4 linked regions of the Arabidopsis thaliana genome follow. The protein of the gene in region 1 interacts with the protein of each later gene in a pairwise test. Each region holds a gene or a part of one and is shown in the gene's direction. Other genes may lie near its edges.

The links.
Region 2: the proteins of AT5G47790 (region 1) and IAA34 interact in binary tests that used the Arabidopsis thaliana proteins (3 or more experiments, as listed by UniProt).
Region 3: the proteins of AT5G47790 (region 1) and IAA5 interact in binary tests that used the Arabidopsis thaliana proteins (3 or more experiments, as listed by UniProt).
Region 4: the proteins of AT5G47790 (region 1) and IAA19 interact in binary tests that used the Arabidopsis thaliana proteins (3 or more experiments, as listed by UniProt).

What each region holds. Positions count from the first base shown.
Region 1 is NC_003076.8:19,349,408-19,354,007, forward strand, and holds AT5G47790 (SMAD/FHA domain-containing protein), read left to right. Parts: upstream 1-1,884; 5' UTR 1,885-1,988; coding exon 1,989-2,344; intron 2,345-2,418; coding exon 2,419-3,172; 3' UTR 3,173-4,088; downstream 4,089-4,600. Other genes in the region: GAUT4 (galacturonosyltransferase 4), read left to right, coding at 1-84, 169-744, 835-1,110; AT5G47800 (Phototropic-responsive NPH3 family protein), read left to right, coding at 4,194-4,521. UniProt on the Arabidopsis thaliana protein: Inhibitor of protein-phosphatase 1 (PP1). Binds to and inhibits PP1 activity.
Region 2 is NC_003070.9:5,181,445-5,185,080, reverse strand, and holds IAA34 (indole-3-acetic acid inducible 34), read left to right. Parts: upstream 1-1,667; 5' UTR 1,668-1,837; coding exon 1,838-1,924; intron 1,925-2,051; exon of another isoform or gene 2,052-2,073; coding exon 2,074-2,227; intron 2,228-2,335; coding exon 2,336-2,476; intron 2,477-2,576; coding exon 2,577-2,685; intron 2,686-2,758; coding exon 2,759-2,825; 3' UTR 2,826-3,090; downstream 3,091-3,636. Other genes in the region: AT1G15060 (alpha/beta hydrolase family protein), read left to right, coding at 1-118, 320-490, 752-852, 969-1,028. UniProt on the Arabidopsis thaliana protein: Aux/IAA proteins are short-lived transcriptional factors that function as repressors of early auxin response genes at low auxin concentrations.
Region 3 is NC_003070.9:5,364,999-5,368,363, reverse strand, and holds IAA5 (indole-3-acetic acid inducible 5), read left to right. Parts: upstream 1-1,866; 5' UTR 1,867-1,903; coding exon 1,904-2,249; intron 2,250-2,366; coding exon 2,367-2,451; intron 2,452-2,539; coding exon 2,540-2,600; 3' UTR 2,601-2,852; downstream 2,853-3,365. Other genes in the region: AT1G15590 (E3 ubiquitin-protein ligase), read right to left, coding at 132-159, 401-526, 605-990; CYCA2;3 (CYCLIN A2;3), read right to left, coding at 3,146-3,199, 3,295-3,365. UniProt on the Arabidopsis thaliana protein: Aux/IAA proteins are short-lived transcriptional factors that function as repressors of early auxin response genes at low auxin concentrations.
Region 4 is NC_003074.8:5,262,319-5,266,232, forward strand, and holds IAA19 (indole-3-acetic acid inducible 19), read left to right. Parts: upstream 1-1,682; 5' UTR 1,683-1,781; coding exon 1,782-2,190; intron 2,191-2,783; coding exon 2,784-2,877; intron 2,878-2,969; coding exon 2,970-3,060; 3' UTR 3,061-3,377; downstream 3,378-3,914. UniProt on the Arabidopsis thaliana protein: Aux/IAA proteins are short-lived transcriptional factors that function as repressors of early auxin response genes at low auxin concentrations.

The sequences.
Region 1 (4,600 bases):
ACTCAGCTGTATCACTATGCCCTTTTCTCTGATAATGTTTTGGCTACGTCAGTTGTTGTTAACTCTACCATAACCAATGCAAAGGTAAGAATTAACTTTCTTCTTTTGTTTGAACATGTAACTGTGTTTCTTTCTGTTAAACTTACGGTCTTAATGGTTTATTGGCAGCATCCCTTAAAGCATGTCTTCCACATCGTCACAGACAGACTCAATTATGCGGCAATGAGGATGTGGTTCCTGGACAATCCACCTGGCAAAGCCACCATCCAGGTTCAGAATGTTGAAGAATTTACATGGCTGAATTCAAGCTACAGTCCCGTTCTCAAACAGCTTAGTTCTAGATCGATGATAGATTATTACTTCAGAGCCCACCATACAAATTCAGACACCAACTTGAAGTTCCGGAATCCAAAATACTTATCGATCCTTAATCATCTTCGTTTTTACTTGCCTGAGATCTTTCCCAAGCTCAGCAAAGTGCTCTTCTTGGATGATGATATAGTTGTGCAGAAGGACCTTTCTGGTCTTTGGTCAGTTGATCTGAAAGGTAATGTTAACGGTGCTGTAGAGACGTGTGGGGAAAGCTTTCATCGCTTTGACCGTTATCTGAACTTCTCAAATCCACTCATTTCCAAGAACTTTGACCCTCGAGCTTGTGGTTGGGCGTATGGTATGAATGTCTTTGATCTGGATGAATGGAAGAGGCAAAACATCACAGAAGTTTATCATCGATGGCAGGATCTGGTATGCAGAAAATATATATATGCTAGGTCGCATCTGTTTTGATTTCAAGAATGTTTGCTAATCATATACACGAACGATTTTAAACTGCAGAATCAAGACCGAGAATTGTGGAAGCTAGGGACGTTGCCGCCTGGTCTAATCACATTTTGGAGACGAACATATCCGCTAGACCGGAAATGGCACATACTAGGGCTTGGATACAACCCGAGTGTGAACCAAAGGGATATTGAGAGGGCAGCCGTGATACACTATAATGGCAACCTCAAACCATGGCTAGAGATTGGGATTCCAAGATACAGAGGCTTCTGGTCAAAGCATGTAGACTATGAGCACGTTTATCTCAGAGAATGCAACATCAATCCTTAGAATTAGAGTCTGTTGTGAGGGCAATATTATACGTTTATAATCTGACGAGATGATCATTACATGAAATTGTATATGTCACGGTAAAAGGAGTTCCAATAGGCACGACCGATGTTATTATTGCAACATATATATCAACAAGAGGAATGACAACGAAACAATGAAACAACTACTTTTCGTATTCCTTTTTGTCGCTGTTTATGTAAAGCAAGTGACAATTGACATAGGTCTATAGGAGACTTTAGACTTTAATCAAATTTGCCAAAGAGCAATACAACATAAATAGTCAAGCCGATTATCGAACCAGAGTAGCATGAATATTAGCCCAGTGAAGACGAAAAGAGATTCGAATCGGAATTACGTGAATGTGATTTCGAATGACTCTGACAATACGTTTTGACTTGTGTAGTTTATTGTATATTCAGTTTAACTCTGTCACCCGCCGTGTTCAACCTTGCTGGTTCAGAGTTCCACAGGTAAGTTTTTCATAATTTTCTCACGCTGCAGTCCACTTGAGTAGTACTCTAACACAATGTTACAGGTTGGTATGGTTGCCATCAACGATGGGATTCTACTTCGTAATCACATCCACAGGATTCTCAAAGCATTTCCGTGAAAAGCCTTACTATCTTGACCTAGTTGATTTGTTAGGATATGAAATTCACTGATCCATAAAAAAAAACATAGGGGTACGTTTAGAAGAATACATAAAGTATAGGGACTGAAGCTGCAAATTTATGTTCTCAGTAGATGTTCGATCTTTGGACAGAATTGAAGAAAGGAGAAACCCTAGACTGAGTCTGGTTACTTGAAGGGGATCATGTGAATACGTCGACTGGTAAAGAAAGAAAGATTGCTGCTTTTTAGATTTAGATTCGAGAATGTATGGAAGATCTGGTCTTGACAGGTTTAAGAAGTCCCAAACTTCGGAACCCTTCTCTGTATCAGCAAATCCTCCTCCGGTGGTACAACAACATCTGTCTCCGGAGGCATTGTCGGGGCAAAAAACTCAGATTGGAGCTGGTCAATCAAACTGGCATCCCCCTGATTGGGCGATTGAGCCTCGTGCCGGTGTCTACTCTCTGGAAGTTGTGAAAGACGGCCAGATCCTTGATCGGATTCATCTAGATAGACGAAGGCATATCTTCGGGAGACAACATCAGACTTGTGATTTTGTCCTTGATCATCAGTCTGTTTCCCGCCAGCATGCCGCAGTTGTTCCTCACAAGAATGGCAGGTTTGTCATCGCTACTCAATTCTCTCATCACAGCTTTGGCCACTGTTGACATGAGTCTTTTTTATTTTTTGTAGCATCTTTGTGATTGACTTGGGATCAGCTCATGGTACGTTTGTTGCAAATGAGAGGTTGACTAAAGATACTCCTGTAGAGCTTGAAGTGGGTCAATCCTTACGATTTGCTGCCTCCACAAGAATCTACCTTCTGAGAAAGAACAGTGAGGCTCTCTTTTCTCGCCCTCCACCTCCAGCTGAGATTAAGCTTCCTCCACCTCCTGATGCTTCTGATGAGGAAGCTGTTGTTGCTTACAATACCTTGCTGAATCGATATGGTTTAAGCAATGGAGAATCTGGTGGTATGTTAGGGAAAAGGAAAGAGAAGACCGGATCAGAAGCGGGAGTGGCTAAGAGGATGAAGAAAGTGAGAGTGAGCTTCAGGGATCAACTAGGAGGAGAGCTGGCTGAGATTGTTGGCATGTCTGATGGAGCAGACGTGGAAACAGAGCCTGGTCCTATAAATGTCAAAGAAGGAAGCCTCGTTGGGAAATATGAATCACTGGTGCGAGTGACACTCATACCCAAAGGCAAAGTGAAGGAAGAGAAAGCCTTTACAGGAGGAACAAGAGGAGGTGTAACAGATCGACTCCAGGAAGCTATGAATATGTTGAAACGGGGTCCAAAAACAGGGATTTACGATGACCTTTACGGTGGTGACTCACTTGCCAAGGCTGTTGGTACGTCATGGGCTTCTGTGAGTCAACCAGCAGCTGAAACTGAATGTGGAGGGGTTGGTGAAGAAGATGATAACGACGATCTGTTTGGTGACTAACTGATTTTGAACACTGAGATTCCTTTAAGTAACTCTTCTTCTTCTCTAATGCCTACATTCCATTCCAAAGGCATTGGTATGTTGTTTCCTCTTTGTCTATCCAATGGCTGCAGCAAGAAAAGAGAGCAGCTCTAAGCCCAGGCCCATTGTCTTGTGTTATAAGTAAGAACCCTGAAATTTGATATGAGCTTGAGCCTGGTCAGTGGTCATTCTAGTTGTGGGTCTTAACAGGAGATGCATTACATAGATAGTCATTACAAATAGTGTGGAGAGTAGAGAGTAGGGCCAATGCAAATGGAGTGCATTTGATTAGACCACTACTGACTTACAGATTCTCTCCTCAAGGCAGACCAATTCCATCAGAAGAGGACATTTGTACTCAAATACCTCTCCTCTCATTCTTTTTCACTTTTGCCTTTTTGCATTATTAAAACAGCACACTAATGATGTGGGTTGACTTCCCTCTCCCCCACAAAAACAGAGATTCCATGGGGGGAAATGGACAACAAGTAAAACACTTGTAAAAATGGTAATCTGCCTCTGATGCTTTAAGATATGATTTGGGGATCAATGCATCTTTGCTTTGGGATTTGCTTTGTGACAGTTAGTATAAAGAAGAGAGAAGCTGAATGTGCTGCAACCAAATTAAAACTCTCTTTTGAGTTAAGCCTATATCCAACTCCTACTCTTCCTAGTGTGGTCCATTGTATTTATCATAAGAGTAAACTCGCTTGTAATAAATTATAGTAGGGAAAGGTGGAAGACCCACTTTTGTTTCTCACTTTCTTTCTGTTTGGTGAGAAGTTGTTTTCCTTATGCAAAAGATGGAATGCATGAAGGACACTTGTGTCTGGCTTTTTATTTATTTTGGTTGTGGATACTTTCATGATATACTTTACGACCTCAACCCTTTAATACCACACAATCTACCTCCATTCATCTTTTCTCTTCTCTTAATTTTCACCTTATCTCCCAACGAGACCATAGAGGAGTTACTGACTCCAACTTATAGCTACTAGCTATGCTGCGTAACTCTCTTAAACACTACCTTGGCACCTATGACAAATATGTTAGTGAGCCAACTTTTCTGGCTTTGATTTTCAAACCAAACAAGTATGAAGGAAATACATATCAGACACCATTTGGAGACTTGAGTCCATGCGGGGAGCAACAAGTGACGAGGCCGGGACCCTTGTTGCCATTCAACTCTCTCTCTCTCTTGGGATTTAATTTCACTAACACTTTATGTCAATTTGATCATTACCACTTTCACATCTCTCTCTCTTCTCCTTCTTCTTCTTCTTCTTCTTCCTCCCTCATATCAACCTTTGAGCACACCAGTTTTCATGGTAAAATCAATCATCCTTTTGCTTTATCTTTTTCGTTTTTTTTTCTCTCTCTTTTGGTTTTCAGAATTGTATCATAAAC
Region 2 (3,636 bases), on another chromosome or scaffold:
GCCGCTTTTCCTCTTTCGACACGTCCTCCATATGTATTATCTTGGCTTAATGATTTGATATCATCAACAGATATGATGCACCCTGAAATGTTAGAAAAGCTTGTCTTGAATAACTTCTGTAAGTAAAAACAGTTGATCCCATTTAAGTATGTGAGTTCTTAATGTATTTTAAGTGGAAAAGAAACGTATCTTCATTAAGAAAAAGAAAATGCTGGAACAGTTACTATTAGATGCTTGAATGTACCATGACTTTTTTTGCAATCCGTAATTGCTCCCTTTATGGTGATTTTCAAGAGTTTCTTTGTTTTCTTACATCTAGGTACCATACCTGCAAAACTACTTATTCAGCTGACAACGGCCTTTCGAGAGGGAGGCTTACGTGATCGTAGTGGTAAATTTTACTATAAGGATCATCTTCCCAGAACCAGTGTCCCTGTCTTAGCTCTTGCAGGTGATCGGGACTTGATCTGCCCCCCTGCGGCTGTGGAAGGTATACTAACATAATGTTTATTATGAAATTCTGCATAGATGACTCTAGCATATACATGAAACCATTCATTTACCCAGATATGCATTTCATTTTAAATTCTACATTGCTGTTACTGAATTCTTTCGAGTTATGAGAGGCTGTATAAGGCGTAGATGGATTAACTTTTGTGATACTTTCCACACACACCAAATAAATTTTTAAGCTACTCACACATGCATTTTCACCATTATGACTAATTACAAATGCTTGTGAATATGGCAGACACTGTTAAGCTGTTTCCGGAGAACTTGGTCACTTATAAGTTACTTGGAGAACCAGATGGACCACATTATGCACACTATGATTTGGTTGGAGGACGACTGGTATGTTTGTTCCCCAGTCATTTCTAGGTCTCCTCCTATGTTGGAACTTTGTTCAATGCTGTATCATGTGCATGCTTGTTTCGTTTGTTAATCGTTTCTCTGACAACTTACTGCAGGCAGTGGAGCAAGTCTATCCTTGCATAACTGAATTTCTTAGCCACCATGATTCCGCATAAGTGAAACATTTCGGGAGTTTCTGTTCCTTGCATGCTATAGCACATGTAGATTGTAGACGTCGCACTAAGGTGGTGTCGAAGAAGTGTGTTTCAGAAGCGCCTGTTAAAAAGGATGCCATTTCCGTTTAAGACACGTACATTTAGTATCTGGGCAAACTGTACATGAGCTTAGGATGCAGTTTTTTCAAGTCATACACCTGTAAATTAGGAAAAGCATCGAATGAGATGCTGGAAGCTCTTGTCTACTGTGATGATTTCCCTTGTTTTGTTATGGCAACGAGCTTTTTATTTGAACATTTATCTTTAGAAGAACTGGTGTGTTCTCTTGTACTGCTTTGCTTCTTTTGGAGGACTTGAGTTATCCATGAGAGCAATTGTATAGACATGGATTTATGTGTACATTTTCTGTCTTAGATCCATTAATGACACAGCCCTACTTCTCAGATAATGTGTGGGATACATGATGTAATGATAGATCTGAATTGTCTAGTATTAAACAACAGAGCTCTCTTTCATGAAAGATATTGTCTCTCCACCATCATGTAAGACCATACCTAGTTCTTCTCTTTCTTTGTCCATAAATTAATTCGTTGGATTCTCTATGGTACAGAATTCTCTAGCACGACTTACCTATTTCTTTTGTAACGTGTTTGATGTTGAGTGATTACAGGTTTTGACTTGAGACAATGAGTTGTCAACACTCTCTGATAACATTGAGACACTTCACTAGATAGAGATGTGCTTGCTGTGATTAGTATAGTACAATTCTGACTTCACGATAATTTCAGGTTTTTGTGTTGGCTGACCAGATGTATTGCAGCGATCCTCCCCATCCCTTGCACTTAGTGGCATCAGACAAACAACAAAAAGACCACAAACTGATCCTTTCCTGGAAGGTAATGTGTTCTTGTCTTTTGTTTGTTCCCTGTCTGCAATGATGTCTCTTAACTCTCCTGACACTCTTAGCCTTAGCTGCTTGATATAAATCAACATCATTCTCACCTTTCTATGTATCTGTTATGTGCTGAATATGTATTTGTTATAGAAACCAACAATGGACTCAGACCCACTCGGTGTTTTCCCAAATTCTCCCAAGTATCATCCATATTACTCGCAGACCACGGAGTTTGGTGGCGTAATCGATTTAGGTCTCAGCCTGAGAACCATACAACATGAGATTTACCACTCATCTGGCCAAAGTGAGTTTCTTTGCCGTTTCCATTAGTATTTCCATTACCTTTAATTTCTTGGTAAATTTTTTCAACTCTGAGACGGTGTTTACTTATGAGTTATGACATGTGGCAAAGGATATTGTAGTAATGAAGGATACAGACGGAAGTGGGGTTATGTAAAGGTCACCATGGATGGTTTGGTGGTAGGTCGCAAGGTCTGTGTTCTTGATCATGGAAGCTATTCAACTCTTGCTCATCAACTCGAGGACATGTTTGGTAAGTTTTTCATGGGAAGCTTGGGATTCAAAGATGAGTAAGTACTATAAGTAGTAATGTTCCTAGTAGGCTTATACCGGATGTTCATTACAATCTGTAGGGATGCAGAGTGTGTCGGGATTGAGGTTGTTCCAGATGGAGTCTGAGTTCTGTTTGGTCTACAGAGACGAAGAAGGTCTGTGGAGAAATGCTGGGGATGTTCCATGGAAGTAAGCTCTTGATACTTTCTTTGTAGATTACTGAAATAAAGCGTTTACATGTGTTGTGATTTGTAAATGACAGTGAGTTCATAGAAAGCGTGGAGCGGCTGAGAATCACAAGAAGAAACGATGCTGTACTTCCCTTTTAATATTAGCTTCTCTCTTTCTTCACTCTTTGTTATAATTTCCAAGTCAGCCTTGAATCGGAAATGAAACAAAAGAGAAAAGGTAAATGTAACTTTGAATACGATTATATTCGAAATAAAGAAAGAACCACGAACTACTTTTTTCGGTGAAATCCTGATCACTAGAGCTCCGATATGTTACGTCTGGATTCTCGTCTTACCATGATACGAAGATATTGTGAACCATCCAGTTTTAAGATATAGTGGTGTAATTACGATGGTGAATTTGCCATTTTATCTTTCATACTTTTCAATTCATAATCCGCATAAACGAAAAATGAGTAGGATATCGAAGGCCTTGTGAAGACAAGAGAGCTCAACTCCGGCGACAACCTCGATCTTTTTTCTTACATTTTCATTCATACGGAGTTGTTGAAAGTCTACGACGTTATCTTTTACACGTAAGAGTGACTGAACCGGTGGCTGATTAGGATGACGTGATTTCCATAATTAATTCAACACCCTCCAAATACAGAAAGACATGCATTTATATAGTATAAAATAAAGACATATACAGTATATGCTCTGCATGCTTAATATTGTTACAAGTCAATGAGTCATCCATTCATATCTAATCCTCCTAAGAACCTAATCTGATCCATATCCATTTATTACTAAGAAAACGTTTTTTTGTTTAACATAACCAAATCAAAAGAAGGAATAATTTGGAATATCCAGAGAAGTCCATCTCAGCATCCAATAGGCAATAGGAAAGGTTTGACCAAAAACGTATACAGATAATAAAAAGTGTGCGTCAGCTTTGAGTGGACGCTGC
Region 3 (3,365 bases), on another chromosome or scaffold:
CTCTGCACACACCATCAAACCATGAAAATTAAACAACAACAACAACAAAAAAATGCTATTTAAAACAGAGTAATTAATGTGATATGAAATTATTACTCACATCATCATGGCTCGGTTTCTTGAAAACAAATCTACCTCCTATACCTTCCCTTACAGAATCTACATCATTTGATTTCAACTTATCCACATCATAGATATGAGAAAAAAATGTTCCAAACTCTAGTGAACATTAAGCGAAAAAAATACCTGCGCATAATAGTAATGCATATGCAAATCTAATGCAACTGAAAGCAATGAAGACTACACATAACCTGCCAAAACATAATCAAGAAGACAAAAGTTAGTACTGATTAGTTAGGGTTTAACTAAATCTCTACTGTGACATGATTGTGAGTCAAACCTGTAGAGCTTAGGAGTATCAGAAGAAGATGAGTGTCCATAACAAATCCATAGAATCCCCATAACTAACCACACAACAAAGAAACATTCATTCCCCATCTTCAAAGCATCCATTACCCTATCCGTTCTGCCACCAACAACGGTTCGGTTTGATTTAGCTAATTAAACTCTTAATGTTAAGTGAAACAAGTGTTGTTTATTATACCTCGTTTTTGAGTAAACACCAATTCGGTTGTATTTGCGGACACACGAGAGGAGAATAAGGAGCGTAATGGTAATACAGCCACAAGTGTAACCGATGACCCATGTTAACAAAAGTGCTTGTTGATGTTCATCTTTTGCCAGAGTTAAAACTATTAATGATGCAACAATCTGAACCAAAGTGACTACTAATTCCATTATATTCCAAAGACTACCACAGTCTCTCGTAGATGAACTTGCACCTTCATCTGACGATTCGTCATCCGTAGACAGAGACGAACTTAATGAAGGATAGCTTCTCTCGTCCAAAGACGATCTTGATGAAGAATCTTCATCGTTTGTAATGTCGATTATGTGATCATCATTATCACTGTGGGATTCGCTGTCCATTATCACAAAGTCTTGTTGTGTTATTCATTGGCTAAAGCCAGCCGACAATATATTATACGCAATTCTACATGATCAATCGAAAACTAGAAATTGTGTACAAGGAAATTTGACTAATCTAGCTTATCTATCAACATGTGAACATTCCAAAAATGTACTATTGGAGATACAAAGATATGGAAATATCTATGAAAAATGGAAATATATCCCGTAATTGATATTTTGATCAGTTCTGTTTCTATTTCGTAACAAATAATGACAAAAGTATGGTGTACATGTGTAGATTACGTATGATGTAATGAAAGTATCGGGCACATGTGTGAATAGCAGAAACAAGATATATGACGAAAACGTAGATGCATTTTTTTCTTTGAAATTATGTATGCACTGTGTAGTGTGTTACGTGTAGAAAAAAATGAAATAATATAATAACTTGTCTTAGCCTTGAGTAACACGTGTTCGGTTGTCGAGAAACATAAATATACGTAGATTTTAAAGTGCACTAATATATATTCGACCATGAATATGTTGTTTTATTATTATGTCGTTGATTAAAAGAATGGGATACAGACATAACAAATCACACATAACATGGGATGTCTAATAGAAAGTAACGTGTTTCTGATCCAACGGCTGAGAAAGAAACCCTACTTTGTCGGTAACAAAATCGTGGCCGTCCAGTGTGTCGAACCAACGGATCCATATTATCGACATTTAAACACGAAGCGGCAAAGGAATGAAAAAACATGACATAAAAATTTCGACAAGATCTTCGAATGGGGCCGACAAGATAAATCAATGCTAAACAAGCTTGTCTCAAACGCCATCGTTTATGTTCCCATGAGAACATATAAAGTGGCAACAGAATAAAGTTCAAACACATTAACACCAATACTTTCAATCAAAAACATCAAAGATGGCGAATGAGAGTAATAATCTTGGACTCGAAATCACCGAACTACGGCTAGGTCTTCCCGGAGATATCGTCGTCTCCGGTGAGTCCATCTCCGGGAAGAAGAGGGCTTCTCCGGAAGTAGAGATTGATTTGAAATGTGAACCGGCGAAAAAGAGTCAAGTTGTGGGTTGGCCACCGGTTTGTTCGTACCGGAGAAAGAACAGTCTCGAACGGACCAAAAGTTCGTACGTGAAAGTGAGTGTAGATGGAGCTGCATTTTTAAGGAAGATTGATTTGGAAATGTACAAATGTTACCAAGATCTTGCTTCCGCTCTGCAAATTCTGTTCGGATGCTATATCAATTTTGGTTAGTTTATGTTTCTATATATAGTATATATTTTTGGTTTTAGTCTTTACTTATCAAGGCAACTAATGATCCAAAACATCGATATTAACTTTATAATCTTTATATATGAAAATGAAGATGATACGTTGAAGGAAAGTGAATGTGTACCAATATATGAAGACAAAGATGGAGATTGGATGCTTGCTGGAGATGTTCCTTGGGAGTAAGTTTCTAGCGACCTCTATAACATTCAAATTTACTTTCTTTTATTTAATTGATATCTAATAAATTATGAAACTATTTGTGTGCAGAATGTTCCTTGGATCGTGCAAGAGGTTAAGGATTATGAAGAGATCATGTAACAGAGGATGAATGATATTTATAGTCACATGTGAATGTGAGTGAGCCTTACAGATATCTAAATATACATTTTTGCAGTTACTCAATATTTCTCTTCGGAAGTCTAAGATTTCCGAAATTTCTGTAGAAGTTGTTTTCTTTGACATAGTTCATTCATCTTTATCTTTTGGTCACTGGACTAAAGTCTAGAGGCGGTTCTTATAAGCTACTGCATGACAGTTCAATATCAACAATCAATGAAATTTGAAATATAAATACTTAAACCTACTTCATATCAGAAAACTGATATGAAAATTCCGAATCTGTTTACATTGCCTCAAGATGGGAGAAAAATGTACATTCTCGTTACAATAAAAAAAACTCTAGGTACCGATTAGATGTTCCCGGGTTTGGAAGAACCAAACCACGGATCAAACTAGGCTAAACCGAATTCTAATCAGGTATTAGATGAGTGGGACTGTGGAAATTCTGTTTTATGAACAAAGAGTAACAGATGAATGAAAACGAAATTGGACCATCAATGTGACAAAACTATTATCGGTTAGGAGTTGAAACCTTCAGAATAGCGTGTCAAGTAGCTTTGGAGACGTGAGAACCGCCACAGATTTGTACTGCAAATCCATAATAAGTCTTATGAGAATCAAGGAAACCAAACTAAAGTTATACCAAACAGGTTTTAGTATGTGGTTTTAACTGATAAGCTTACTTTCTCTTGCCTATACTTCATGCGTATAGCGCTCAAGGGGCAACCTTTGGTGTTAAGCTGCAGATCTTGTA
Region 4 (3,914 bases), on another chromosome or scaffold:
TAAATAAACTATGGACCAATTTCATGGTGAAAAAGGGGCTTCGGATGAAATTTTTGATCAAATTATATTTGTTTATTGATAAAACAAACGTTTTTTTTAAAGGATGACAGTTGTGCGTTTGAGATGAAAACCAAACACTGCTCCCACTCAAAATTTGTAAAAATGGAATTTATAAATATTTGGTGCTACAAATGTCGTTTGGTAGCCTTTGGAAACATTAAAGGTAAACTAGAGATATGGGAGTATGGAACTTAATCTCTTTATGTGGTTGTATTTCATATAATTTCACGTGGCCCAACTTGTTTCTGTCAATCCATTGATCAAAGTTGGTAGACAAGAGTGAACCCACACACACTCACACACATACACACGGTCGATCTTTTTTTCTATTCTCGTGTCCCTACGTCCTCTAAACCCCATCATTATACTTCTTGTGTTTTATTGGTATGCTGAGCTAGAGATAGTTAACAACTACCCAACAATGCGGGTCTGGCTTAGTTTGAACCTATTCGAAACTAGTTATACTCCGCTTGAAGTCATTGGTTCGAGACTAACTTTGGAGATGAGTATCATAAACAGCTCTAACTTAAGATTACAATACATCCTCTTGTTAGTCTAAGTTGAGAGGTGTTGCCATTGACTATATATTTCTTTGGGAATTTGGTTTACCAGGATGTTGCAAAGAAGATTTAAATAGTTATAAATTAGTACAAATTCAATCCATATGATATGATATTCAAAAAACAAAAAAAAAAAAAAACTGATCTAAAAGTCGAACCAAATTCTAATTTGATTAGAGCATGTATATAATTGAATCCCTAAGTAAAATTCAACCCAATACTTGAGAAGGTAGTTATATTCTTATAAATTATGGATATGATTTGATTAAAACTCAAACCTGAACCCAAAACATACTAGAATATACGTTTTTACTTTGTAACTATTTGTCACATTCCAAAACTAAACTCGGTACTATATTTGATTCTGATCCATACAAATTTTGTATATCTGGTTTATATTCTCCATGTGAGATTAAAGCGGTGACCAATCAAAATCATTGCTGGAATATCTTACTATTAAGCTAAATGTTGTTAGTTATATACAAGCCAATCCAAAAAAACTGATGCAAAGAGAGATAAACGAACATATCCCAAAATGGTAGGATTTGATTTAATATTCCCATCCTCTTATTAGAAATGCAAACAAATAGACTATAGTTTTATTTATTTATTTTCACTATAAAATAACTAAATAACATGAACTTATTGAAGAAAAAGTATACTATAGTTGTGATTCTGTGATATACTAGTTAGAACAAGAATCTTTACAAAAAAAAAACACATGGGATGTTAGGAGAAGGAGATTCGGATTCCAATGATCCAACGGTCAGAGAAAAATCAGAAGAAAATTTCACAACCGTAGGATCTGTTCCCTTAACCACCTTGTAATGCCGGTCTTTATTAATTTTGAGAAAAAAATAAAAACAGCACCAAACTTATGTCTCTCATGTGACCGACCACCGCATCCTCAGTTGACCTGTCTCTGCCCCCACTTTGTCTCCCCACACAAACTGAATAACAAGAAGAAGAAGACTTTAGATATCAAATGACTCCACGTGTCGATATTGGATTGGTTTTCATTGGTTGTATCGTGTGGACCAACGAAGCAACATATAAAAAGCACGACGCGGTGCCATTACTACAATAAGAGAAGTGTAGGAGAAGAAAGTTCTCATTTCATAATTGTATCAAATTGTGAGAGGAAAAAAAGAAGTTCAAGAAATGGAGAAGGAAGGACTCGGGCTTGAGATAACGGAGCTGAGATTGGGGCTTCCGGGGAGAGATGTGGCAGAGAAGATGATGAAGAAGAGAGCTTTCACGGAGATGAATATGACGTCGTCGGGTAGTAATAGTGATCAATGTGAAAGCGGCGTCGTTTCATCTGGTGGTGACGCTGAGAAGGTTAATGATTCGCCGGCGGCGAAAAGCCAGGTGGTGGGGTGGCCACCGGTTTGTTCTTACCGGAAGAAAAACAGCTGTAAGGAAGCTTCGACCACGAAAGTGGGGTTAGGGTATGTGAAAGTGAGCATGGATGGTGTGCCTTATTTGAGGAAGATGGATCTTGGTTCGAGCCAAGGCTATGATGATCTAGCCTTTGCTCTTGATAAGCTCTTCGGTTTCCGTGGCATCGGTTAGTAACAATTATGTTCTCTTCCCATAAAAGTAGAGTGGTAATTAGATCATGTGGAAAACAACTAATTATATATAGTTTACAAGACGTCCGATTAAGAACTTAGAGTGTTGTAGTCTTGTAGACGTAATGGAGTAGTATAGTTTAGTGCTGTTCTTTCTTTTTATGTCTACAACCAAACCAACACCCCAATTTATGATACAATGACAACACTAATACAAATATAGTTAGAATTTTGGTTAGCAGTTGAACTGATTGTGGTAGCAATGTTATAGATTTTAATTTAAAGTGTTATGAAAGGACAAATATGTCGAGATTTTTATTAGTCATCTCAGGAAATTTATTTACTTGTTCTTAGAGACTTAAGACTAGTCCTAATTTAACTGGTTATTTTTCTCCAAACTGTTTTGAATTATCTGAAAATTATCTATCATAGAAAATTAGAGGTTTCGGTTACTACATATCCGTAATTTCTAAAAATCAGAATTTATGCACCACTTGTATAGTTGTATTGTTAATTAGACTTTTCTATATACCGAATTCGCCATATTATCAACACAATTTTAAATTTACATATATACATATTTGTGCAGGTGTGGCCTTGAAAGATGGTGACAACTGCGAATACGTTACCATATACGAAGACAAAGATGGAGACTGGATGCTCGCCGGTGATGTACCTTGGGGGTATGTTCTATCTTTTGACTTAAGATATCTCACTACAAAAAGAAAATGTATCACAAACTAAAGTAAATGAGTTTGGATATTTTGATTTGCAGGATGTTTCTAGAGTCATGCAAGAGGTTGAGAATAATGAAAAGATCGGATGCTACCGGGTTTGGGCTGCAGCCTAGAGGAGTAGACGAGTGATGATGACTTGAACAAGAAGCAAGGAGCTGGTTCATTAATTTAATCTTAAACTTGATCATCAAGATCCTTTAGAACATTTTTCCTATTCATGTTATATAAATATATATGTTATAGTATATTATTTTGCAACAAAATTTCATGTTATGGTTTTGCATAATTATCTTCAGAAAGACAGCTATATATATATACACTACTTGTTTCTTGAGTGTTGAGTTAAAACATTAATCTGTTTCAAAATTTATTGTTATTTCGGATCTATATATGTGTGTAGAAACATATGTAATAAGTATCCATTATTTCATCTTTTTAAAAAATAATAATTATTATTTGAATCTTTCATTGTTGATATGTTATGTATACCTGTGTTTTGGAAAAAATATGGATATTATAAGCAAATCTAAATAGATATTTATAAAAAAAGTCTACGTAAAACATTCGTTAGTTTTTACTTCTACTTCAGTAAGTGACATCACAAATCTAAATAGATGTTTTCATAAGTATATAAGTGTAAGATAAAAACAAAGAATTCATTCTTCCTTTTTTTTCTCTTAGAGTTATGCTTGTATAATTTATTAGTACTATAAGATTTTTACTAGTAAGTTTTTATTCCAAATATTCGTATACCTCCGAAGAAATTAGTTAATTCATAATCGTAATTTCACATTCAAAGTTAAGATTGCTTAATTTAAAGATTTAAGCTTATTCTTCATTTTTTTTTTTTTTTTTGTAATGATTCTTTTTATAGATATGCACATCTTGCTTTTGATAGCATAAGTACTATCAATTATAGAAAACACCGACATGTTCGGTATGTCAACCTAGTTTTTGTTTTTCTATATTGTTGTTCTGTACAA